Linked DNA regions of Arabidopsis thaliana. The protein of the gene in region 1 interacts with the protein of each later gene in a pairwise test. Each region holds a gene or a part of one and is shown on either strand. Other genes may lie near its edges. The genes, in order: AT1G14260 and MKK10.

The links.
Region 2: the proteins of AT1G14260 (region 1) and MKK10 interact in a protein complementation assay, tested with the Arabidopsis thaliana proteins (one large-scale study listed by BioGRID).

The regions. Positions count from the first base shown.
Region 1 is NC_003070.9:4,865,395-4,878,501, forward strand, and holds AT1G14260 (RING/FYVE/PHD zinc finger superfamily protein), read left to right. Parts: upstream 1-7,461; 5' UTR 7,462-7,629; intron 7,630-7,722; exon of another isoform or gene 7,723-7,766; 5' UTR 7,767-7,805; coding exon 7,806-8,045; intron 8,046-8,146; coding exon 8,147-8,218; intron 8,219-8,299; coding exon 8,300-8,367; intron 8,368-8,459; coding exon 8,460-8,610; intron 8,611-8,682; coding exon 8,683-8,769; intron 8,770-8,856; coding exon 8,857-9,036; 3' UTR 9,037-9,133; exon of another isoform or gene 9,134-9,237; 3' UTR 9,238-9,513; downstream 9,514-13,107. Other genes in the region: AT1G14240 (GDA1/CD39 nucleoside phosphatase family protein), read left to right, coding at 1-338, 416-528, 1,030-1,137, 1,313-1,355, 1,462-1,650, 1,750-1,847, 1,953-2,149, 2,254-2,383; AT1G14250 (GDA1/CD39 nucleoside phosphatase family protein), read left to right, coding at 3,281-3,857, 4,084-4,196, 4,421-4,528, 4,726-4,768, 4,913-5,110, 5,193-5,290, 5,389-5,585, 5,677-5,809; AT1G14270 (CAAX amino terminal protease family protein), read right to left, coding at 9,705-9,746, 9,837-9,943, 10,030-10,121, 10,197-10,289, 10,364-10,413, 10,501-10,634, 10,718-10,800, 10,967-11,074 and 2 more; PKS2 (phytochrome kinase substrate 2), read left to right, coding at 12,263-13,107.
Region 2 is NC_003070.9:11,653,306-11,665,551, forward strand, and holds MKK10 (MAP kinase kinase 10), read left to right. Parts: upstream 1-1,850; coding exon 1,851-2,768; downstream 2,769-12,246. Other genes in the region: GulLO1 (D-arabinono-1,4-lactone oxidase family protein), read left to right, coding at 1-60; SAMBA (valine-tRNA ligase), read left to right, coding at 314-464, 825-935, 1,193-1,233; HSFA1D (heat shock transcription factor A1D), read right to left, coding at 3,960-3,972, 4,065-5,221, 6,642-6,929; AT1G32337 (uncharacterized protein), read left to right, coding at 8,510-8,629, 8,779-8,817; NHL8 (NDR1/HIN1-like 8), read right to left, coding at 10,157-10,285, 10,378-10,543, 10,632-10,858, 10,932-11,317, 11,394-11,901, 11,987-12,061, 12,157-12,246.

The DNA.
Region 1 (13,107 bases):
AGGGACCCGGGTTCATGTGTTCGGGTACTGGTTTGAGTCCGGGAAACCCGTTTTCGATTTCGGAGAGAAACATTACGCTAATCTGAAGTTGACTCCTGGTTTGTCTTCGTATGCTGATAATCCGGAGGGAGCAAGCGTGTCAGTGACGAAGCTTGTGGAATTCGCCAAGCAGAGGATTCCCAAGAGAATGTTCAGGAGGAGTGACATTAGGTTAATGGCGACTGCTGGGATGAGATTACTTGAAGTGCCTGTTCAAGAACAGATTCTTGAAGTTACAAGAAGAGTTCTTAGATCTTCAGGTTTTATGTTTCGAGACGAATGGGCTAATGTTATCTCTGGTTAGTTGTTTTTTTTTCTTGAATCAATTCTTCATTTTGGATAAGTTGGGAAATGTAATCATTGGGAAATGATTCAGGATCTGATGAAGGTATATATTCTTGGATTACTGCCAATTACGCACTTGGTTCGCTTGGAACTGATCCGTTGGAAACAACGGGGATTGTTGAACTAGGCGGTGCTTCTGCGCAGGTTTAGTCTTGTCTCTCTCGTTGGATGCTAGAGTACTAGACCATGCATACATTTACGCTATATATAGCTGGCTTTCTCTTTTTCTTTGTATAAATGTAGGTATTTTCCGTCCAATTTTGGCAGAAAAAAATGATTTGACTTTTTTTTTTTGATATAATTTTCATCACAAATTTTGTAATTTAAGACGTTTTTTGTCGCTTGATGATTCAAGATTGGGTTTAGATTTTTTTAACAAATTTGAAACGAACATTTTTGATGCAAAAATTGGTTTGAAAAACGAACAATTCCGGATTAAGAAACTAACAACAACCGAACTATACTGCATCTAGATCTGAATCTTGATGTTGACTTTAGATGTACGTCCGGATTAAGAAACTAACAACAACAGAACTATACTACATTTGGATCTGAATCTAGATGTTGACTTTGTAACATATTTTTAGACTTCAACTGTGGTATATGGTCGAATTGTTAGTGATGACTATTTGTGCATATGTTTAGGTGACATTTGTGTCAAGTGAGCATGTGCCTCCTGAGTACTCGCGTACGATTGCCTACGGAAATATTTCATACACAATCTACAGTCACAGCTTCCTCGATTATGGGAAGGTAACTTTTGAGACAAGAGGATTTGTGTCTTTGATTCCTTGTTTTTTAAAAGTTGTTTGGAAACGTATTAATCGCTGAATTTTATTTCTTTTCTTTTTCTCATCAAAATTGTAGATAATAATGCTACCAAATTTGTTAATTTTCAAAAAAGCTATTAACTTTTGTCTCCTTCCAGGATGCAGCACTAAAAAAGTTATTGGAAAAACTCCAAAACTCAGGTTAGTTGTTTTTGATAAATTGTTATAATTGCACTTTTGAGTTCATGTAATTGTAATAATATTATTTTTCTCTCAATACTCATCTTCGGTGTTACAATTCATATAGCTAACTCTACAGTGGATGGAGTAGTTGAAGACCCTTGTACTCCTAAAGGGTACATCTACGACACAAATTCAAAGAATTATTCATCCGGATTCTTAGCTGATGAAAGCAAACTTAAAGGCTCCCTTCAAGCTGCTGGTAATTTCTCAAAATGCCGATCCGCTACGTTTGCGCTTTTGAAAGAAGGAAAAGGTAAACAAAGAGCATTATTGGTACGTATAGCTGAATGTTGTTCCTCGTATCGATTTTTCTTGATCTCTTATGGGTGTAGTTTTGTTCCTTTGTGAACAGAGAACTGTCTATATGAGCATTGTTCTATTGGATCAACATTCACACCTGATCTTCAAGGAAGTTTTTTGGCTACAGCATCTTTCTACTACACCGCCAAGGTATAATCCCATGACGTCAAGATTATATGTATGAATTTGTGGGGGAGAAATTGTTTGAACATTAATGTCTTATATATTTTCCTGTATGAAATTAATCTGAATCAGTTCTTTGAGTTGGAAGAAAAGGGTTGGTTGTCTGAATTGATTCCAGCTGGGAAGAGATATTGTGGAGAAGAATGGTCGAAACTGATATTGGAATACCCAACAACTGATGAAGAATATTTGCGTGGCTATTGTTTCTCAGCAGCATATACTATATCAATGCTTCATGATAGTCTTGGTATTGCTCTTGATGATGAAAGGTAAAATTTACTGCACAAATTCAAGAACATTGTAAGATTAATCAAATGTGGGTTTTTTTGGACAAAGATATAAACAAAAACTATACGTTTGTTTTTGTTTGCAGTATCACGTATGCAAGTAAAGCAGGAGAAAAACACATACCACTAGATTGGGCATTGGGGGCTTTTATACTAGATGTTGTAACACCCAATTCTGATTACAATGGTAAATCTAGAAAATATCTTGGCTTTTAAGTAACGTAGCCAAATACAAAATATGAAATCATAGTTTTGTATTTTACGTTAAACTGTGTTTGAAAGTAACTATCATGTCGTCGTTCCTTTTCATGAAATAAGTTAGCTAAGTTCGTAGGTGTGTATCTTCCCCTGCATGGGATCGACTCTTCTCGTTTGTGGGATTGTATTATTGTAATAAAACTCTTTGTTTGGTTTCTTCTCTCAATAATATTGTTACAAAGTTGACGAGTACAAAACAAAAAGAGGAAGGAAACAAATTAAAAAAAAATTACTCATAAGAAAAAGAGAGAGACCAAATTAAAGTAGAGGTGGTACATAATAACATGAAATTCAATATTGTTTTTTTGTTTTTTTGTTTTCATTCTGATTTTGATTATGGACACGAAATCTAAGATTACAGAGCAATTATGAATGGTACTGTTTAAGAAATCGGCCCACAGCGAGTGATGATATATGATCCTTTGTTCGCATGTCCTTCTGTTTTGCACACGTTTTGTAAATGTGCTTTTACTTTCTTTAACTATTAATTTAGGTGTACAACAAAATAATAGATTTTCAAATACCAGTTACCACTAGTTTCTTATCCCTGGAGGATTGGTTACGTGAAATATCTTTTAGGTCTAAAGACTAGAGCTTGTAGTTATAGGTCTTCCTCTGGACTCCTATTTCTCAGTTCTCACTGATTATAAAATCAGATTCTAGACTAATTAAGAAGAACAGGCAAAACGAATTTGCTATTGGCCCGTTACGTTTTTTTTCCTTTAAATAATTTTTACGTTTTTTCACTACGTTTATTGCTATTGCTATAAATTTATCTTCTCAGTTTTCGTTAGAGAGTCTTAAATGCTGATACAATGTTTGTATACGTTCCAGGTTGGAAAAAAATAATCGGATATGGATGCTCTCAAGGTTCAGATTCTACCTGATAACCAATCATCACCTTCGTCCACGCACATGCTCACTAAGCCCAAGTCGAAAAAAGCGACAAAATCGATTGCCATGCTAATCGTCGCTTCCTTGGCTATCACGTTAGGGTTATTATTTGTTTTCAGTTCAAATTCAGTTATGTTCTCTGCAAGTTTTCTTCGGAGAAGTTCACTTCACTACAGCGTCATTATCGATGCCGGGAGTTCGGGGACCCGAATTCATGTGTTCGGGTACTGGTTTGAGTCTGGAAAACCCGTTTTCGATTTCGGAGAAGAACATTACGCTAGTCTGAAGTTGAGTCCTGGTTTGTCTTCGTATGCTGATAATCCGGAGGGAGCGAGCGTGTCAGTGACAAAGCTTGTGGAATTCGCGAAGGGAAGAATCCCCAAGGGGAAGTTGAAGAAGAGTGACATTAGGTTAATGGCGACTGCTGGAATGAGATTGCTTGATGTGCCTGTTCAAGAACAGATTCTTGATGTTACTAGAAGAGTTCTTAGATCTTCAGGGTTTAAGTTTCAAGACGAATGGGCTACTGTTATCTCTGGTTAGTTTTCGGAATCAATTTTTTTATTCCATCAAATGCAATTATGTTTAAGTTGATCACTGACCTACAATTATACATTGTGGGAGTTTACCTTTCTTTGGTGCACTTGTAAACATAAGATTTTTGTTTCATTTTGTTTTCTTTTAGCTTAGTTGAGTGATAGTAAATGTGCACATATCCATTGGCAATTGGAAGTGCTAATTACTGGGGGGAAAATTTTATTCAGGAACTGATGAAGGTATCTATGCTTGGGTTGTTGCCAATCACGCACTTGGTTCGCTTGGTGGTGATCCATTGAAAACAACGGGGATTGTTGAACTTGGTGGGGCTTCTGCGCAGGTCTAGTCTCTTTCCCTTCTCAAATTTGTTATCCAGAAGAAAGTGTCCTTGGCTCTGTTCCTTTTGTCAAACTACACTAGTTTGGATGTATTATGAATTGCATCCAAAAGATTTGGATTTTATGGATACAATGAAAAGTAGGGTCTGTTAGTCCAAAACTATCAAAGACTAAACATACTAGTACGATATACAATGATTGTAAGCCATTTTCTGTATTTGTATAGGTGACATTTGTGCCAAGTGAGCATGTGCCTCCTGAGTTCTCCCGTACCATATCTTATGGAAATGTTTCGTACACAATCTACAGTCACAGTTTCCTCGACTTTGGACAGGTAACTTCTGAGAGCAGAGCATTTGTCTAAATGTTTTTGAGTACTTATTTTCTATGATTTCACCCTTTTCAAAAAGTTATCCGGAAACTTAAGTGGAAATTGCGTCCCAGTTTTCTACTTAATAATATTCTGATTTTTAAAATTTCCTTGTAGAAAATGCTACCAAAAGTTTTGCTAACTTTTGTCGTATCGTGCAGGATGCAGCAGAAGACAAGCTATTGGAATCACTGCAGAACTCAGGTTAGTTGTTGATAACTTCTTAAAGTAATCATTAGTTTACTGAAATTGGAATTTTTTTTGTTAAAGCTAATTAGTAATAGCCCTCTTGAGTTGGAAATAATCTTCTTTTACCTCAAAACTAATTTGGTTTTTTATTCCATACAGTAGCAGCCTCTACAGGGGATGGAATAGTTGAAGACCCTTGTACTCCTAAAGGGTACATATACGACACACATTCACAGAAAGATTCATCCGGATTCTTATCTGAAGAAAGCAAATTTAAAGCCTCCCTTCAAGTTCAAGCTGCTGGTGATTTCACGAAATGCCGATCCGCTACGTTAGCAATGTTGCAAGAAGGAAAAGGTAAATAGCATTACTTGTATAGATGATTTATAATGGGAATATTTGATCTCTTATGGCTATATTTTTGGCATTTTGTGTACAGAGAATTGTGCTTATAAGCATTGTTCTATTGGATCAACATTCACACCTAATATTCAAGGAAGTTTTTTGGCAACAGAGAATTTCTTCCACACATCCAAGGTATAATCCTTTGAATTTCATGTTGGTCGATGTCAAGATTCCGTCTGAATGTGAGGAGAATTGTTTGAACATTGGTCTTTAATTTCTGTCTTGATCAGTTCTTTGGGTTGGGAGAAAAAGAGTGGCTGTCTGAAATGATTTTGGCCGGAAAGAGATTCTGTGGAGAAGAATGGTCGAAACTGAAAGAGAAATACCCAACAACTAAAGACAAATATTTGCATCGTTATTGCTTCTCATCAGCATATATTATCTCAATGCTTCATGATAGTCTTGGTGTTGCTCTTGATGATGAAAGGTAAATGTTATTGCACAAGTTCAAGATCAATGCATGTTGGTTTTCTGTGACAAAGATATAAACAAAAACTATATGTTTGCTTTGTTTGCAGAATCAAGTATGCGAGTAAAGCAGGAAAAGAAAACATACCACTAGATTGGGCATTGGGCGCTTTTATACTGAATACTGACACACCCACTTCTGATTACAATGGTAAATCTAGAAAAATGATTGGCTTTAAGTAACGTGGCCAAATACAAAATATATGATATGATCGTAATTTTGTATTCTACGTTACATTGTGTTTGAAACTTGTATTCTACGTTACATTGTGTTTTGAAAGTATAGTCGTCGTTTCCTTTTGTGGAATAAGTCAGCTAGCAGCTACTCATTAATAAATTGAACGCCAATATGTGGTAATGTATTATGTATGTGGCGGTATGTGTATAATTTCGACATTATAAGAAAACCTCTGCGACCTTACGGTTGTTTGAATTGCCAATTATAATTTTATCAATTACTTTTTGTTTACTTGACTTTACGTTCTTTGAACTATTCAAGTCAACAACAATACATTAGATAAAGAATTACCACTAGCTGCTTATCCCGAACTCTACGTAGAAATTATATAGTACGGCTAGAGAATAAAGTCTATTCTGCTGATAGATAGAATCATAGAAAGCCAAAAAAAAAAAAAAATTTCTTGTGGCAAAAAGCCTACTATAATCTATATTCGCAAAATACACTTTTTTTTTCTTCTTTACTTTGTAATACTAGATATCAAAGGTTGTGTAGACTTTTATTTTGTATTTAATTTTTTCTGCTGTTGAGAATTCATTACTCGGTGATAAATCTTTTCCCAACCGGGTGACAAATGTAAAATCACATTTCATAATGGTCTTTAGATCTTATTTTTTTATAGCTAGAACCAGTCTTGGATCTTACGCAAAATTAATCTAAATTCTACCATAAGTCGTTAGGACGCTAAAATCCTAAAAAACTAACATTTCTTGGTTCGACAAGCTAATTAACAAAAAAATTGTATAATAGTAAGGGAGTCTATCTGCATTTCACCTATCTGTGTCAGATTATATATAAAGAAACATATGTATACGTGACCATGTCTTTTCTTGTTAAATCTTTCTTTACTGAATACTTGACAATTTCTATAAGAATAGCTCAACGGTCAATAATTTTCAATCCGTACAACTAAGGACTATATAGACATGTATGTTCCCTGATCATTTATGGTCAACCACATTAATATGTTTCTAAAATATTAGACGTGAGTTCTATAATATTCTTCAAACAAATTGTTTATTTAGTGAAAATGATCAAGTGTTTACTTGATTTAATGAATCTAATTCTTCCTAGTTGTATTTTGCCAATAACCTTATCTATTCCAATATATCTACATTATAATGCGTATAATACTACTGTATAATACAACAGAGTATATATAATCCAGCGTATTATTGACTTTATACTCAAATATTGCATTAACAGAAAAATGCAAAATATATATTTTTTAAAGAATTATATGTGAAATAACAGTTTAATAATGAAAATAAAATCTAAAATTAAAGATTAGAAAAGTAATATTTATTATGGAAACTGACGAGTTTTGAAAAGATCATGGGATTAAATGGTGTATTATTTGTAGTTATACGACTTGGTTTTTTAAAATTATAATCAAAAACAACATGTTGTTAATTAAAGAGGTACTAGATGCTGTCAGAAATAGACCAACAAAAAAGAGAGACTACTTTAGATTACCACTAGGAGCCGTTATACTTAAGTTCTGGTCAACGGCTATATAACTAACGGAGCCGTTAGTCTTTTCAGACGTCGTTATCTTTCCCGCTATAAAAAGCCATTTTCCATTAGCTTGATTTCCGGGCCAAACAAAATCTTTTGTGAAGAAACTTTCTCTCATCTTCCCAAGGGAGAGAGCAAATACCAAAAACTTCTTTTTGCGTCTCTCTTCTAACATTCCTTCCTTGCCGATATTTCAGCTCACGACGAGAAAAATCTCACCGTTCACGCTATATACATCTATTTGCAGGTGATTTTTTTTCTTCTAGATTTGGTATCTCGTTTTCTCCGAAAATCTCGATCTTGATCTTTGCTTTTCTCGGATTCGTAACGCATGTGTCTGATTAGAGTTCATATACTTGTGAATTTCTTGTTTTTCGTATTTAGGGATTTGATTTCGTAGAAGTGGTTTTGGGAAACACTGAGATGAGTAATCATCACACGGTCGTATATGTTAATGGATTGGTTCGACCGGTTCTCGCGGAGGCTGAGTATAGTATGAGAACAGAGTCTCCGGCGGATAATGCAATTGATATCTACGACGGAGATACTACGGAGAATGAGGAGGAGGATTCACTGATTTCTTCCGCGGAGTGTCGGATTTGTCAGGATGAATGTGATATTAAGAATCTTGAGAGTCCTTGTGCTTGCAATGGCAGCTTAAAGGTAGTTTTTTCCTTCATTGTTTCATGATCACTATAGGAACCTATAGTTAGTTATCAAGAGAACATTTGAGTATTGACTTTTAAGTTTTACGTTGTGATCAGTATGCTCACAGAAAATGTGTTCAACGTTGGTGTAATGAAAAGGGAAACACTATATGCGAAATCTGTCATCAGGTATATACATTCTTTCTCTTGATACTAATGATGTATGATTTGTAGAGGATGCAGCTCAAATTAAACTTTCTCTTATTCCAGCCATACCAAGCTGGATATACCTCTCCACCACCACCACCACAATCTGAAGAAACTACTATTGACATTGGGTATGATCATTTTCATTATTCTGTTTCTGTCATACACTTTAGGTTTGGTTTCATGACTTGTAATTGTTCTGACTTATTTGTCTGTTTTTTAGTGGAGGATGGAGAATCTCGGGTTTGGATTTAGATGATCCACGTCTCTTGGCAATAGCAGAAGCTGAACGTCAGATTTTAGAATCAGAATATGATGATTATACAGCTTCAGATACCAGTGGAGCTGCATTTTTCCGCTCTGCTGCTTTAATAGTAAGTCTAAAGCTCCTCAACAAGTTTCAATTACTCCCGAGTATTTTTACTAATTTCTCTTCTCTTTTGCAGTTGATGACTCTTCTTCTATTGCGACATGCACTGACTATACCAGATTATTCAGATAGTGAAGATGATGATCCTTCTTCAATACTTTCTGTAAGTTACTACTTCTTCCTTTTTTCCAGCATATACTGGAAAAGTTTCGTATAAGTTCTAACTCCAAACCACAAAATCATCTTGCAGCTTTTCTTACTCCGAGCTGCCAGTTTTCTTCTTCCTTGCTACATCATGGCATCAGCCATCAGTATCCTGCATCGCCGTAGACAGAGACAGGAAGCAGCGGACTTGGCCACTCGGTTTGCGTTGGTGCTCAGCTCGCGCCAACCTAGACCCGTGATTAATTATTTGTCAATGGAGCCATGATTTTATAGTTCCACTCTAAGAGTTTCAGGTGTATATGCTTTTCAAATATTTCATCAGAAAAAAGATTCATGAACTGCTGTTAAAAGAGTGGTTTACAGTAAGTAGAAAGAAGAATCTCTTCTTCTTCTTCTCACTTCTTGCAAAGCTATTGAAACTATCTTTTCTGATGAAATCATTGAATCATATGTGGTGTTAATCAAGATTTGGTAGCAACAAGAACCATCACAAGATCTACATGATGGTCCTTCTGAATCAGCTTTCTTACAAACAAGGAGTGTCCTAACTTAGTGCAGAGTTTTTTTTTTTACAAGTATTCGATTCTAAGAAAGATTGTGTATGTAGATTAAAGAGTTTCTGATTCTGTAGCATTAAGATTTTCAATAACACTTGATTGAGAGATGAGCATTTCACTTTTTAGGTAAAGAAAAACGAGACACATAATTTGTAATCTGTGTAAATAAATTTGTTTTTTGTTCCAAAAAGATTCATCTCTACCATATTAGTTCATACATTACTGTCATGATGTTGTAATAAAGATAACTCTACCAAAACCCAAATTGCATTAAGTATGAAATCTGTTCTCGAATACAAAATATCTTACTAACATCGAGCACATAATGAAGCTTTTTGATGTTAAATGCGGACAGCACAAAGAGCATGGCTCAGAGCTAGTTTGCCTGCAATAGCTCCTTAATGTCATACCCTTGGATCTACAAAAAACAACAGAGACAAAACAAACATAAGCTAAGAGTTGATATGTTATTTTGACATTGTAGTGATCATAGGAATGAGTTTTCTACCTGAAGAAAAGTGAGTAGCAAAATAACTCCCGAGTTCCAGAAACCGTGTATGACCATTGGGGTAATGAGATTGCGGGTTTGTGCATATGATAATCCCAAAACACTTCCTAAACCAAAAGATACTTATTGTTCATCCAGAAATGTTCATAACCATGAGAAAATGCAAATGGTTTTGTTTTTAGTTATGTTTTACCTAGAATAAACAGCTGCGGGAATTCACCAGGTGTGAAATGGGCAAGGGCAAACGCAGCTGAGCTGATGATGATCGCTATTGGGGTCGGGACCCTGAAATACAGAACGTAACAAAATGTAGTAAGCTTTTGTCCAGAACCAAATGAGAAAAAAGAACAGAGGTTTTACCATTTGGTAAGAGAGACCATGAAGAATCCGCGAAACACGGTCTCCTCCAGAAGTGGAGCAAGGATTCCAGTTATGCCCACTAAGCTTAAGGTGCTGTATTATGTGCAATGTGTGATCAAATTCTAGTATTAACGCACATCGCAGTTTCTATTTCTTTGAGGAAATACCTTATGTTTGAGGATCCAATTAATGGAAGAAGCTTCATCAAAGAGTCTACCTGAAAACATCACACTAGGCCTCATTACTATTATCCAACAAATATTTCGAAAACAAAACATAAAGCATGGTTTTGAATTCTCCTAACCTCCCTTTCAGGTGCTTCTGTCCTGAACACGGATAAAACAACACCTGTTAACGCAATAGCACCAACAGCACCAACCAGACCGATTCCACCCCACACAAGCCATCCTTTTTGCAGGTTGACGGGTTGTCTCAAATCTGACGATCGAACAAACAGTCAACTACCAATAAAAGAGCAAACCATGCTGATAGAAAAAAAAAAAAAAAAAAAAAAAACGTACCATAGCGAAGAATATCTTCAGGAAGTGGGTCGAAGGTTTTGGCAACAGTGAATATGACAGCAAGTACCACCGCGGTTGTTAGGCTGCCAAATATTTAGACAATGTTATTCAACATAAGCCAAACCTCAAGAGAGATAACTAATTTTACAATGTGAAATCAGCTAAAGCAACGAGATTATATAATGAGTTTACATTAACAGAGTAAAAAAGAGCAAAGAATACACAAAAGAGTAGTATTTTTTTGGTTACCCTTGATCCAGGAACAAAATCTCCGCCTTATCGTCCAAGGTCAGTTTCTCAACGTCGATTCCTAAAAACGGTATGACTGCCATCTCGGTTAATCCTGTCAAAACAAAACTGCCTGGGAACAAAATTAATCTCACTCCATGCATTACACAGAGAATAGTCACTGAACATTAAACTATTTAACCATAACAGAGAGATTATCTTTCAGATCAGTCTACTCAACCATCACATTTATCTTAGCACACAGTCTATGTACTTTCATCAAACTCCAACCCTAAAGTCATCAAAAGGGAAAGCTTTTGATGAGAGTACCTTAGTGCACAAGCAAACGAAGTTAACGAAACTGTCTGCCATCCCCATGGAACTTCCCATCTCTGAAGTATCGGCCACTCTGAGCTACCTCCTTGTAACTACAACAAATATAACAATCAAAACTTCAAATAATTTCTCAAAGGTCTAGTCTTTTTTCACATTCCAATAGAATTTGGATTCAATTGAACAAGTTACATAGAGCTGCCTCAGAAAAATTCAGACCGGAAACTAAACAAGAATCTAATTTAGATAGAGTCAGTGAGACAGTAACCTTTCCCTCTCCTCCAGGTTCCTTTCCAGAGTTGAAAATGCAGGCCGATCTCCATTTCTTCCGATTAACCGTAAATAACCGGCGGCTAGCAAATCCTGGAGAAAACCGGCTCAAACCGCCGTAAGTACAAGTCTTCGGAAGAATTAACCTCCTTGAATCGGATAAACATAGAAGAGACGAAGATTGAGATAAACACGAGATTATCTGAGAAACCATTTTGAAATTTTCTGTTGTTCTTAGAGAACTTCCACACATGAACCAACACGATTATCAGATTGAGGAAGAGGATAAGATCCGACTAAAACGAGCGGGTAGAAAAAAACCGTTACTTACTTAAAATAACGTTGTTTAAGGCCCATTTATGTCAGTATAGGCCCAAAGCCCATTAACGACCAACTAACTCGACGACAAGTCTTTGTCAGTATATCACAAAATACGTACATCCCTCGTGTCTTCTAATTTGTAATTTTGTTCCTTGGGAGAATCATGTCCACTATTTTTCTTTTTTCATTTTCCTTATAACCAAGACAAAATATAATTAATATTTTGTTTATACATTAGCACAAAATCACTGGCAAATAGGCAGTCTTGTCCCAGTAATGGAACCCACACGACATAGCTTCAAAAAAAAAACAAGGAACTTCCTCATTTCTTCTATTTATATTACTCAAATCTAAATCATCCCTAAGAAATAGTAATACACAAAAAGAAACAAAATGGTGACCTTAACTTCATCTTCTTCAACTCCAAACGTATCTTTTGATTTCATGATGAACAATAATAATAACAGTAACAATCTCTATGGTCCTTTCTCTTCTTCTTCTACTTCTTTCTCTTACTTGACAAGCAAGGAAGATGCTCTCACCCAGAAGAACCTAATGAGTGGTATCACCAATGATGTTCTTGGAATTAACAAGAAAGCTTCTGAAGATTTGGAGATCAGTGTGTTTGGAGCTGAGAAGTACTTCAATGGAGATATGGATTCTGACCACAGTCCTAGACTTGTGTCTCCTCTGCCAGATCCAGAAGTTCCAATAGAGAGAATCTTTGTTGGTCCGAAGCAAAGCTCGAAGAATTCCTCGGAAACTCCTAGTCTTCGGTCTGAATCCAGTTGGAATAGCCAGAGTTTGTTGCTTCAGAGCAAATATGTAGAGAAGAAGAAGAACATCAAGAAAAACTCTAGTTGCAACAGTTACTTTCAGGAGAAGGATATGAGTAGCAATCACAAGGTGAGTAATAAGAAGAGTTTTCTCGCTACTCTTGGCTGCAGATGCGTGTGTTCGAACTGGAGTTCAGTGGATGTCGTCGACGACAAGAGAAGAAGCTCTGGTCTGAAGAAGATCAAGACTCAATTGAGTTTCTCTGGAGATCTAAGCTCGGAGATGAAGATTCATCAACAACAACAAGAAGCAATGCTAGAGCAGAGGAAGTCTCTGGAAATATTTGGATCTCCTCTTATTGAGAAGAGAATCATTCAGAAGAAATTTCCATGGGAATACTCGAGCTCTGCGAAAAAAGAAGAACATGGATTCTCTGTGAAGTATGAAGAAGAAGAAGATGG
Region 2 (12,246 bases), 6.8 Mb from region 1:
AAATCAGTAAATGGCTATGACGATCATACCAAATTTAATTTGATGTTTAATCGTATATGAGAAAAGTGAAAACAGAACATTTTACAGAACAACGTCTTTTGTTCATTATGACAAGCTTAACAAGTTTTATGGTCGGTCACACGGGCCTTTGTTGTTGGGCTTTAGCCGGTTTATTTGGTTCAATTCGGTTTACATGGTTAGTCCTCGAATAAAATAATTTCGGTTTAAGATTTGTTACGGCTCCTCCGTCAATGTATCGTCGTTGATCCCAAATTTCTTCTGAACAATTTCGATTTTGAATTCGCGCTGAGTGATGAACGGCGCTTCTCCGGCTCATTCATTGGTTTCGACGACCGCCGTAGCTGGTGGAGGTGGAAGCAGTGGCGCCGCCGCTGGTCTAGACGATTTCCATTTTCCACCGGATATTCCCTCAATGCAAGAGCGAAAAGACGAAGCTATGCGTGGTCAGTTCTTACTCTTTTCCCTTTTCGTTTCATGATTTCGAATCTTAGGGTTTCAAATTAGAGGTTTTCTATAAGATTCGGTAATCAAATTTCTCAGTGATCAGAGATTTGAGTATCACATCTCCAAATTTAGGGTTTTTGATACTATCTGAAAATCCCAATTTTGTTTCCCTGAGTTTTTTTTATTTGGTTGATTGATTTGTTGATTTAACAGTAACTTCTTTAGATAATTAGTATTGCTAATTAATTACTAATAAATGATTAAGGACATGAGTAGATTAAGAAAAAGCTTGCTTCAGTTTCAAGTGTTTGTTTGAGATATGTTATGTAATAGGTTTGGTTTTTGTTTTGATGGTGTAGTTTTGAAAGCTGATTTGATGACTGAACTTGACAAAGAGGTTAAGTCTTTGGAAGAAGATAGTTGGATGTTCGAAGGTCCTCGTTCTCGAATCCATCTTATATCCAGAAGAGGTTAGTTTTCTTCTTCTTCAATCCTATTTTTCTGTATGTCACAAAGCTGTTTTCATGTGTACGTTTATATCAATCTTGAATAAGTTTTAACAGCAGTAATGATCCCAATGGTTCAAAATTTCATGTATTTGCCATTCTCTAGATTAGGCAAGTCGGTATGGTGAGAACATTTGATCGAATCTGCGGGTTTGTGTGTGTGTTTTCGGTGTTTCGTCATCACTAAGACACTCTACTGAAGTATATTTGTTTCTGATTAGGTAATTTTCTAAAGAAAGGAGGTGAAGTGAAGCTATGGTGAAATTAAGCTTTGTTCAGCTTCCTAGATGATCGGATTCATTCAAGTAAGAAATATCAGAAATGGTCGTATACGCTTTGTTTCGTGTTCTTCACAAATGTCACTAAAACGTTAACTTTATATTTTCCCATTGTAAGGGACAAAATAGTATTTCTATGGTGTTAATATACAAGTGAGGAAATCATTATTCGGCTAATGAGTCTATTACTCGAAAATGAAATTTCAATATTCTCAAGAATATAGATAATCAACTTTCATCAAAGACAATTTTTAAGTTTGAATAATTAATTTAAAATCCAGATATTTTTCTTGATTTTTTGTCTAACTTGGTACTTTTTATTAGTTCCTTTAAAAAAATTAGGTTATTATCATCTTCCCAAAACAAAGATTCTACTATATGTACGGAAAAAGAAGTACCAAAAGGTCATTATTAAATCCCAAAACTTGTTTACCTATTTTTATCAGGAATCAATTGATCACCACTACCTAAAAACCACAAATTGCTTAAGTTTGTTAACACTGATTGACAAGTGTCATACAAGTAATCCCATTTGCCACGTGTCATGTCCTTTTTATGTAACCTAGGACTTGAAAACCACAAGTGCAAGCAAATAACCTAGATGACACTTGTTAGAGAACGACGTCACCAAGAACCTCTCACACTCTCTATTCCACCACTTATTTACCACGGCACCGCCTTCTCCGTGGCATCTTCTTCATCGTCAAGCCCTGAAACATCGCCGATTCAAACCTTAAACGATCTCGAGAAACTCTCCGTTTTAGGACAAGGAAGCGGTGGGACAGTCTACAAAACCCGTCACCGGAGAACCAAAACGCTTTACGCCTTAAAAGTCCTCCGGCCAAATCTCAACACCACGGTCACCGTCGAAGCCGACATCCTCAAGCGAATCGAATCGAGTTTTATCATTAAATGCTATGCCGTTTTTGTTAGTTTATACGATCTCTGTTTCGTGATGGAGCTTATGGAGAAAGGATCTCTCCATGACGCGTTACTTGCTCAACAAGTTTTCTCCGAGCCAATGGTATCGAGTCTCGCTAACAGAATCCTCCAAGGGTTACGTTATCTGCAAAAAATGGGAATAGTTCATGGAGACATAAAGCCTTCAAATCTCCTTATTAATAAGAAAGGAGAGGTCAAGATTGCGGATTTTGGAGCAAGTAGGATAGTAGCCGGAGGAGACTATGGATCGAATGGGACATGTGCTTATATGAGTCCTGAACGTGTAGATCTAGAGAAATGGGGTTTTGGAGGAGAAGTTGGATTTGCAGGAGATGTGTGGTCATTAGGAGTTGTGGTTCTTGAGTGTTACATTGGAAGATATCCATTGACCAAAGTTGGGGATAAACCGGATTGGGCGACATTATTTTGTGCAATTTGCTGCAATGAGAAGGTGGATATTCCAGTGAGTTGTTCGTTGGAGTTTAGAGATTTTGTTGGGAGATGTTTGGAGAAGGATTGGAGGAAGAGAGACACTGTGGAAGAGCTTCTTCGTCATTCTTTTGTGAAAAACAGATAGCATTAGTCTCGGTTTGGTTTTCAGGGTTGAGAAAAGCAAGTCATAAACTAAGGAACCGAACTTTAGTTTCAGTTTGATCCGGTTTAATTTGAATTTTTGGGTTCGGTTTTCCTTTGAAATTCTTTGGTTCGGTTTAGTTTGAACTTTTTGGTTTGATTCGAGTTCAGTTTTGAAATTTTTATTACTTTTGACTAGGCTTAAAAATTTAATAACTTTTTTAAAAATACTTGATTTATTTTTTCTTACAAATTTTCTGTTTACAGTAAAACCTATATAAATTAATAATATTGGGACAAAAAAAATTTATTACTTTGAAAGGTATTAATTAATAAAATTGTATAAATTTTGTTAATTCTAACAAAAAATTTGATATAAAAAGTTTTTTTTTCTTTATAATCAATAGTATTTCTGAAACACAATTACAAGTAGAAAACAATTATTAAATTTAAAAAATAAAAATAGAAATTTGATGTTGTAAAATATTAGAATTCAACACTACAAAAAATTAATAAAAACTGAAGAAAAACATAACTAGTCATTTTTTACATATGATATTTATAATATTATATATAGATATATATTGGTAAATTTATACAATTATTAATTTATATTATTGATGAGACCATTTATTTATATAAGATTTTCATAAAAAAAATATTATTTTACTAATTTATCCGAGTTGTATCAATTTTTACATTGGTTTCAAATCGGGACCGAAATAATTTACTAATTTATAAAGATTATTAATTTATTGAATATTAATTTATAGAGGTTTTACGGTATTTGAAATAGTTCGGTTTAGTTTACACTAAACATAGACTCGGTTCAATATGTTTTGTATGAAATTTTTGGTATTGTGAAGTTATGAATTTTAGTTTAGTTTGGATTTATTCGGCATTCATGAAGGATTAATAATGTCAAAAAAAGAGAACAGATGAATAGTTATGTTGACTTAATAAGTTCGCATTGCTCTTCTTCAAGCAAAATAAGCGAAAAGTTCAAACAAGAGACTGAAACATGACACAGATTCTCATATTGATAGAGAATTTGTGTAAAATTGAGAGTTGTATGAAGCAGTAATGTTAAACCACTTTGATACAAGAAAGAAGAAATAAAAGATCAGCGTATGAAAAATGAATATGCTGCTCTCAGGGACTGTGTTACCTCAAAAGACTTTAAAAACTCCCAAAATCAAGGATTTTGCCTGAGTGAAATAAACATAATATAAATAACTAAGCAATTAAACTTGAATAGTTAGAGTTTGATAGACAACTACTAAAGTTGATCTTTAGTTACCTTGAGAGATCTAAGGTTTCAGGAGAGAGGAGACCCATCTGTTGAGTCAGATTATCCATATGCTTAGTTTTGTCCCATCCATTTTGTTCCTGCTCTGTTTCATTGTCCACTGGTGTTGAATCCATATTATCTGGAACCGGGCTTGACATGAGTAAGCGTTCGAGTAAACCGTAATCAACAGGGTCTATATCAGAATCCATTGGAAAGTCGTCAATGTCGAAGGACAAAGAATCATCGATCAACAGATCTGGATCTAGTAATGGACTAGAACCTCCCAGGTTTGGTTCCATGAAACTCTCTGGAGGCTTCTCTGAATTATTTTCCGGTAGCATATGAGTGAAGTCGGGAAGAGTTAGATCATCAGGTGAAGGAATACAGTTCTCGGTTGCTTCTGATGCTGCCGAAACATTTTCAGGAGTTGTTTCAATTGGTGATGATGACTGTATCTCAGAAGCTGTAGGCATTTCCTTAAGAGTTATACCCGATACTTGGTTTGATGAAGTCTCCATCTCTGTTCCCTCGGTAGTAGACGTACCATTACCTAGAAGGAAACCATCATCGCCGGTTTTGTAAGGTTCCATCTTCATAAGCTGTTTAAACATTGCTTTGGCTTGCTCGTGCATTGGAGGTTGATACTTCACTATCTGTCCATCAGGAGTAGCAGAATCATTATTACGGACAATGCCGTCTCGCTTGAATCTCCGCTTCTTACTGGTATCACTGATGCGCCTATTACTCTCGTTTTGCTGATTCTGCTGCTGTAAGAATTGAGATAGAAAATGAGGGCTTTGTACTGCCTTTGCAAGGAATGACATTAATTGTTGTTGCCGATTCTCCATGCCCTGGAGACGCTGAACCATCGTTTGAAGTTGGTTATCAGTGGACTGTTGCTGCTGTCTTAATCTGACGAGTTCTTGCATAAGGACGTTCTTATCTCTTTTAAGCCTTTCAACTTCTTCTTCGAGACCAAATTTGCCAACTTCAACACATGCGCTAACAGATGAGTTCTGTCCATTCGAGTGCTGAGATCGCTGATGTCCCTGTCCCTGTCCATGGGCAGGTTTTCGCCTAGTTATTGATTGTAGCAAGTGCTTCTGACCTCTTAAAAAACCTTCATTCGCAAATTCCCATCTATCTGGGTCAACCTTCCTGAAACCCTGTATCAAGAAAAGACACGCAAAATGGAATGAAAATGGATTCCACCAAGACCAATGAGAAAGAATTCATCCGACAGCTTTAGAAGTGCAAATCTAAAACCTTCAACACATAGTCTTTTAACTGCCAACTATCCACAGATTGAAACAGCCATATACAGGACGTAACTGATCAGTTGGCACATGCATCAAGAGCAATTTTAATTCAGAAGTCAAGTAAATGACCAATCATGGTCAATTTAATATATGAATCATGAAAACTACTTTATTTATGTTCCTATTATGGGTCTTACCTACCACCCAAACCGAGGAAAAACCAAAATATCTAATAGGGATAACTGAAAACTAAGAGGGTGAAAAGTATCTATGATCTACCAGTGTAATCTTTATGTCAAAGTCTGCATGGTATAAACTCATAAAGATTGAATTTTGCTTCAAATAGTGCCCAACATGTAAGACATCATGTACCACACAGACAGTAACTAAGGAATAACTGGCAAACAAGAACTGTCAGCAGAAAATTCAAGCTCCTTTAAGTGCATTCACCATCTTGCAGCATCACGAGCATCCTGCTCTAAATATTATGCAGTACAAGCTCCATTCACCATGACCTTTAGAGCAAAGCTTATATAGTTATCTACTTATATACACAATAAAATCTCCATCCAGCCTATATGAATAAAAAGTATTTAATCTAAGTGCAACCGTACAGAGCAAACCTATGGTTCCCGTAACTGACATGCCAGATAAAGATTTAAAGTCACACTAATAACAATATAGATATTCCAACACTAAACACCCATATATCTACTTAAGATCTAGTTTCTATTCCAGGCACTCCTGATCACATTGGCCTTTTAAGGTTTTCAAAGACGTGAGATATCTCCACTAAACCTTGACTCATCTACAACAAAATGATAGATTAGTAAAACAGAAAGTTGATAACCTTGCACTCAGGTCATGATCAACATGAGACTTGCTCTCTTATTCCAAATTTCTTCTTTCTTCTCCTTTATAATGAATGCTGAGAAAATTCAGGAAGGTTTATTACTATCTTACGACTATTACTAAACCTGATTACAGAGAGTCAAACAGACAACAAAGACAAAAAAAAAAGGGTATACATCTCTATTCTCATCCCCCTAAGTTTGTATGTACAGTCAGCTTCATCAACGCTCTCACATATCTATCATTTCAAAGCCGTGAGGTTCTAAACTAAACAATCACAAGATATCAAGTATTGCAAATAAAGTAGTCTCTAAAAAGCATACTCATGAAACTAACTATCGATTCTAATGGATACAAAACTCCTCTGCTCAGAAACATAAAGCAACCATGGGAACAACATTAATGGAACAAAATCCATAAAATCGAGAAATGATGAAGTAAAAAAAAAAGGCGAAGGGAAAGGGAAGAAGATTACATAGGTATTAAGCTGTCTAACGAAGCTGGAGAAATTATTATGCTTAAAGTTCTTAGGAAGAAGATCGCGAGCGAACTCCGGTGGTTTCCAAACGATAAAACTGTTGTTATTAGCACTCCAAGAGACAATCGAATCTGTATTGTGATCATCAACCATATCATAGGTCTTGCTCAGAAACGGAGGAGGCGCGTTTGAACTTAGAATCGCCGCAGGCTGAGGTTGAGGAGATGGCTTAGTCTCCATTGAATCTCCTCCGCCGTCGCTTGTGGTTACTTTGCTCACATCCATTCGGATTTTTGATTCCAAGTCAATATTTGGGAATTTTGAGAAAATTAGGGTTTTATATACGAAACTGGTGATTTTTACAATAGGTGAGAGAGAGAGATAACTTTTGATTGAAGATCTAGAGAATTCTCAGAGAACATTCACGAGAGATATGGGCGGAGAGAGATATAGATCAGAAGAGAGATTTTGAAATCGATGGAGAGGACGAAAGAGAGACGACGGGAGACTCATGAACACTTACGAAATTACGGAATTAGACATTTCGCTTTTTCTCTTAAAAGCGGATGATTTATTACGTGTCACTATATTATTCGCTATTACGCTCTGTTTTTTCTTTTTGGGCTGACTAGCCTGACACGAGTATCGATTTTAATTCGTTAAAATAATAAATTGAAATTTTATTTTGTCTTACAATCTTTTCAAATTCCATCAGAGATTTATGTATTAGTAACTAACAAAGTTTTTTCAAATCTTTTAAAAATAATAATAATTAAATCTACAAACTATTTTGAATAATAATAAAAGTAGATTTTTAAATCATTAGTTTAATAACACTAAATTTTATTAAAAAATTTTAACTTCATAATTAAATAATATATGATTTGTAAATTTTACACAAATCACTTAAAATACTATATTAAATACATCGTCTAAAAAATAAAGTCATGGTTTTATTTCCTCTATGTGGATCTCTACTTTCATATCTGTATTTTATTTCAATTCATATTTAGATTTTGTACTTTATTTATGAGTTCTTTAGTTATGAGGTTGAGAAGTTTTTGTTTAGTTTTAATGTTTTCCTTTATTCTAGGTTTTTTCCATTTGTATCTATTTTTGTTTACGGAAAATATGTTTGTTTGTCGGTTTAGCTTATAGAAATGTATTTTTTTTTGCCGGCATATGTATTGTAATAGGAAAACGGTCTATTTTCCCATGATAACTATGACATCATGCCAGATAGAGCCCGAACAATGACCACAATCCAGATGTCCACGAAAAGATACTTCTCGATCTATATCTCCCAAAATCGATAGTTTCATCTATTTCCCCATATATTTGGGTTTAATCGGTTTGCTGACCAGACCCTATAAAATCCACTCAAACCGATACCAAACCACTTTATATGTCAAACCTTCTTAAAAAAAAATAAAAAAAATAAAAAAAAACAAAATTGTTGTCGGTCAAACGGTCTATTTCTCCATGATAACTATGACATCATGCCAGATAGAGCCCTAAGTATGACCACAATCCAGATGTCCCCGAAAAGATACTTCTCGATTTATATTTCCCAAAATCGATAGTTTTCATCTATTTCCCCATATATTTGGGTTTAATCGGTTTTCTGACCAAACCCGATAAAAATCCATTCAAACTGATACCAAATCACTTTATATGTCATACCTTCTTAAAAAAAAAAAAAAAAAAAAAAAAAAAAAAACAAAATTGCTGTCGGTCTTGTCTTCTCCATTCTTCCCATAGAATTCCAGATTATGTTTATTTGAAAAAATAGTTTATCTCTCTCTTTGATTGTTACGATGGGTGTTAGATTTACTTTGAATCCACATACAAATTTGTCGTAACTAATGAAGAGATATTCAACAAAGCATTTTAAACGCATTCTAATTGCTAATAACGTTAACATCGACATTGACCTGAAAACTGGAATCGTTGCTAAGAATATGGCTAAGAAAGAGAAGATCAAGGTGAGCTTCCGCATGAATTTTACAATTCACAAAAGAACAACCCAATTAAACAAAATCAACATCTCAATTATTAAATAAGTTTTATCCAATTCTATTACTGTTCTTTCAATTGCTCATCTTAAAATCAATCTGGGAATTATAAACACCAGAAAACAATCAACACAATCCATCAAGTCGACAATGGCTGATTCAGTGTTATCAATCTTCTACAAAATGAATCAAGTGATTTCAATGGGTGGAATAATGTGGGAAGGTCTCAATTCGAGTTTAATCAAAATCGATGAAGCTTTGCTTAAGCAGCAGATCCGAGCGGAGATGAGGAATAAAAAGAGAGAAAAAAAAAAGATATAGGAAGAAGAAGTAAAAAAAGGTTATATTTATGATTAAAAAAAAAAGAAGAGGAAGAAAAGTAATACTGCATATGTAATTAGTAATTTACTTTGTAATTTCCTAAATTAGAGCTAAATAGCTTTACCCGAAAAGGAAACAACAAAATACAGGAAGTGTTCCTTTTTTGTGTGTTACCGTAACATTATAAAATAACCTCCCATTATTTTCTCACAATTACTCTACTACACATCGAAGAGTTTACAATTCTCAGATCGAATAATCAAAATCTCTCTTTGAAGATGTCGATAATGATAACACACCGTTACATGGTCAGAAACGTTTATGCCGTTCCGTTTCATACAAAATACGGATTTGGTTTCCATTACTTCTCTTGTCTCTTTGGTTTACATGATGTAAAGTTGGTTCCTTTCTTCGGCTTGAAACGTTTTTATTACCCACAAAAAGTTCTGTATAACTCGAAACCTTCAAATTCTAAACCGGTTAATGAGAAGCCGATTCAAGAACCGAGTCAAGAAGGAGAATTGTTTGGTGGTTCGGTTACAATGGGTGCTGCTCCGTCACCGAGACACTTGCCAATTCCAACTTTTTGCATGTCTTCTAAGCTAATAAAGACTTGAATGAGACAGAACTGTGGACTTTTGTAGTAGTTGCTAATTGTAATAGATCCTGGCCACAATTAGATAATTGTTTCGTTTTTTATTTATTTTTCTGCTAGTGTTTTATGCTATTGTTACCTTTCGAGTCGTTTGTTATCATCACTTACGAAAACTTTAAAGAGTCAAAATAAAATCTAAAGTATACGATGTATATTGGTAAACATGACAGTTTATATAATACAACACTACCACTGCTTTGAATCTCCATCACTCTCTGTGGTTGCTGACATCTCAATCCTATCTGGACAAGACTTGTGGTTCAAGTAGTGGATGAGATAATCAAAAATCAAGATACGAAGAGAATCTAGGAAACCTAAGAACATTTAGGTTACCTTTCTTTCCGAAAAATGAACCAAACCCATCAATGTTTTTATACCTCAAGCAAATGAGAAGACACGATAATGACCAAGTATAATAAATATTGAAACCTGAATCGAAGAATGTATCAAACTTATCAATGTTTCTTTGGACTTTAAAACAAACGACAACAACCTCTATGTTGATCTTTGCAGACATGCCTTTACCCATCTGTGTGCTGCTTGCAGCCCTTTGGTCCATAATGCTGAGCAGATTTCTTCACCACTTTCTTACAAAGATAACAGAAATGTGCTTGACATGCCCAACAAAACAAGTGATTGTTGTTTCCCGCCTACACAATAACAAACTCCAGAATCATCTCATGAACCTCAAAAACCTATAATTCTCTGCCTTTGTTAAAACCAAATTTTTTTATTTTCTTACCTTTCCATTGAACTGGCGGCAATTAGGACATAACTGACCGCGCTGTGGAAACTGACCGCCTTGTGCAAACAGTTGCGCTTGAATCTGTCCAATGACTTGTCTCTCATTCATCATCTCATTCCATTCTTGGATCGCCTCTTGTGGGAACAGTTCACATTTTCCCTCACTTTTTCCCAAAAAAAAGACGGAGCTTACTTAGTTCCAAGATTTATATACATATGTATCTGTTCTTTTATATATGTAACATCACTAACCTGAAATGTTCATAACCAGTGATAGCTTCGTTGCAACGGTAACAAAAGTATTGACCACAGTTATTGCATACCATTTTGTTACAACCTCCGGTTCTTGAGATGGCTATTTTGCACGACGGACATTGTTTAGCGCTTTTCATTATCACCTTCACACTCATAATCTCATTGATCATTTCTTTCTCTTTCCGCCTTTGTTCCTCTCCAAGACGAGAAGAATCTTGACGCTCCTGTATAGAGATTTACATGTAAGAAAGAGTCAACGGTTTAACAAAGAGAAGATCAAAGGCACAATAATGATACCTGCAAGATTTGAAGCCTAAGTTCCGGGCTCATGCAAGCCACACCCACATGTCTCTTTTCCTTACAAAGTGTACAGAAACTGAAGTAGCATTTGAAGCATAAAGCAAGCTGTTCCTCGTCCTCTATGCAAGGGGTTTCACATCTAGGACAGTAAGCAACGTCAGTCATGGATTCCAGTGTTTTCTGTAACATAAGAGTTTCCCACCGTTCATACGCTTCATCGCCCAACAATCTCTTCAATATCCCTGGCGGAACAGTTTCTCCACATTTCGAGTCCGGACACTTGAGCTTGTTAACTGTGCCTTCAGTGACATGTATGTCTGTATAGGTCTTCATACATTTCAAACAAAAGAAATGCTGGCATGGTAACTTAACAAAGTCGATACCTGTAGAGGGTGTAAAACAACTGTAAACCAACCCACATTACTAAAGAAAACAGCTATGAAGAAGAACAAGATATACCTGCAGATTCAGAGAAGCATATGCAGCACTCATGCAAGCTCTGAAGGAAGCTATCATGACGTTTCTCATCGTCATAACTCCTAATATAAGGAATATCTGAATCCGGAGAACGACTTCCAGACACAGCACGCTTATCTCTGGAACATGTAACACCATAAGGACCAAGAACAATCTCATTATCAAAACCAAGATGAGAAATCGACGAGTTCTGTAGCCAATCTGTCCACTGGTACAAGACTTCTTGCCCTGGCTGTTCACTCCATAACGAGTCCAGCTTAGAGCAGAGACTTGAAATCTTATCAGGATTCATCCACTGAACACTTATTAAGAAATAAGGCGGTAAGTGGCTCGGATAAGCTTTTGGTAATAAACATTTCAACACAATCGGTGGAAGGTGTTGCGCCTTGAAAGAGTACAAGAAATCCTCTGACTCTTTGCTTGAATCAGCTTGTAAGTTAAGCTTTGTAGAGATAGTATATTCACTAGTAGCTTCAACGTTTACATGAACCTGCACAAATCAATACTATTAGAATATATTGTTATGTCACATTACCGATACGAAACATGTCAGTACTAAGCAGCTTATTTCTGACCTGAAAGTATCGCATATCGTTATACCGATCAAAGATGAACATGTTTCCTCCATATATGTACCCCAATGCCAAAAGCTGTTGAAACATCACAAAGGTCAAAACTTGATATGAATAAATGTCCTAAAGCTATTGAAACATCACAAAGGTCAAAACTTTATAGCTCAGTTTACCTCATCTTCCTGTAATTGATCATTCATCTTTAGTTGCTCCTCTGTTAGCTCTGGCTCACTGACACTAGATCGCAAATCTTTCAGAATTGT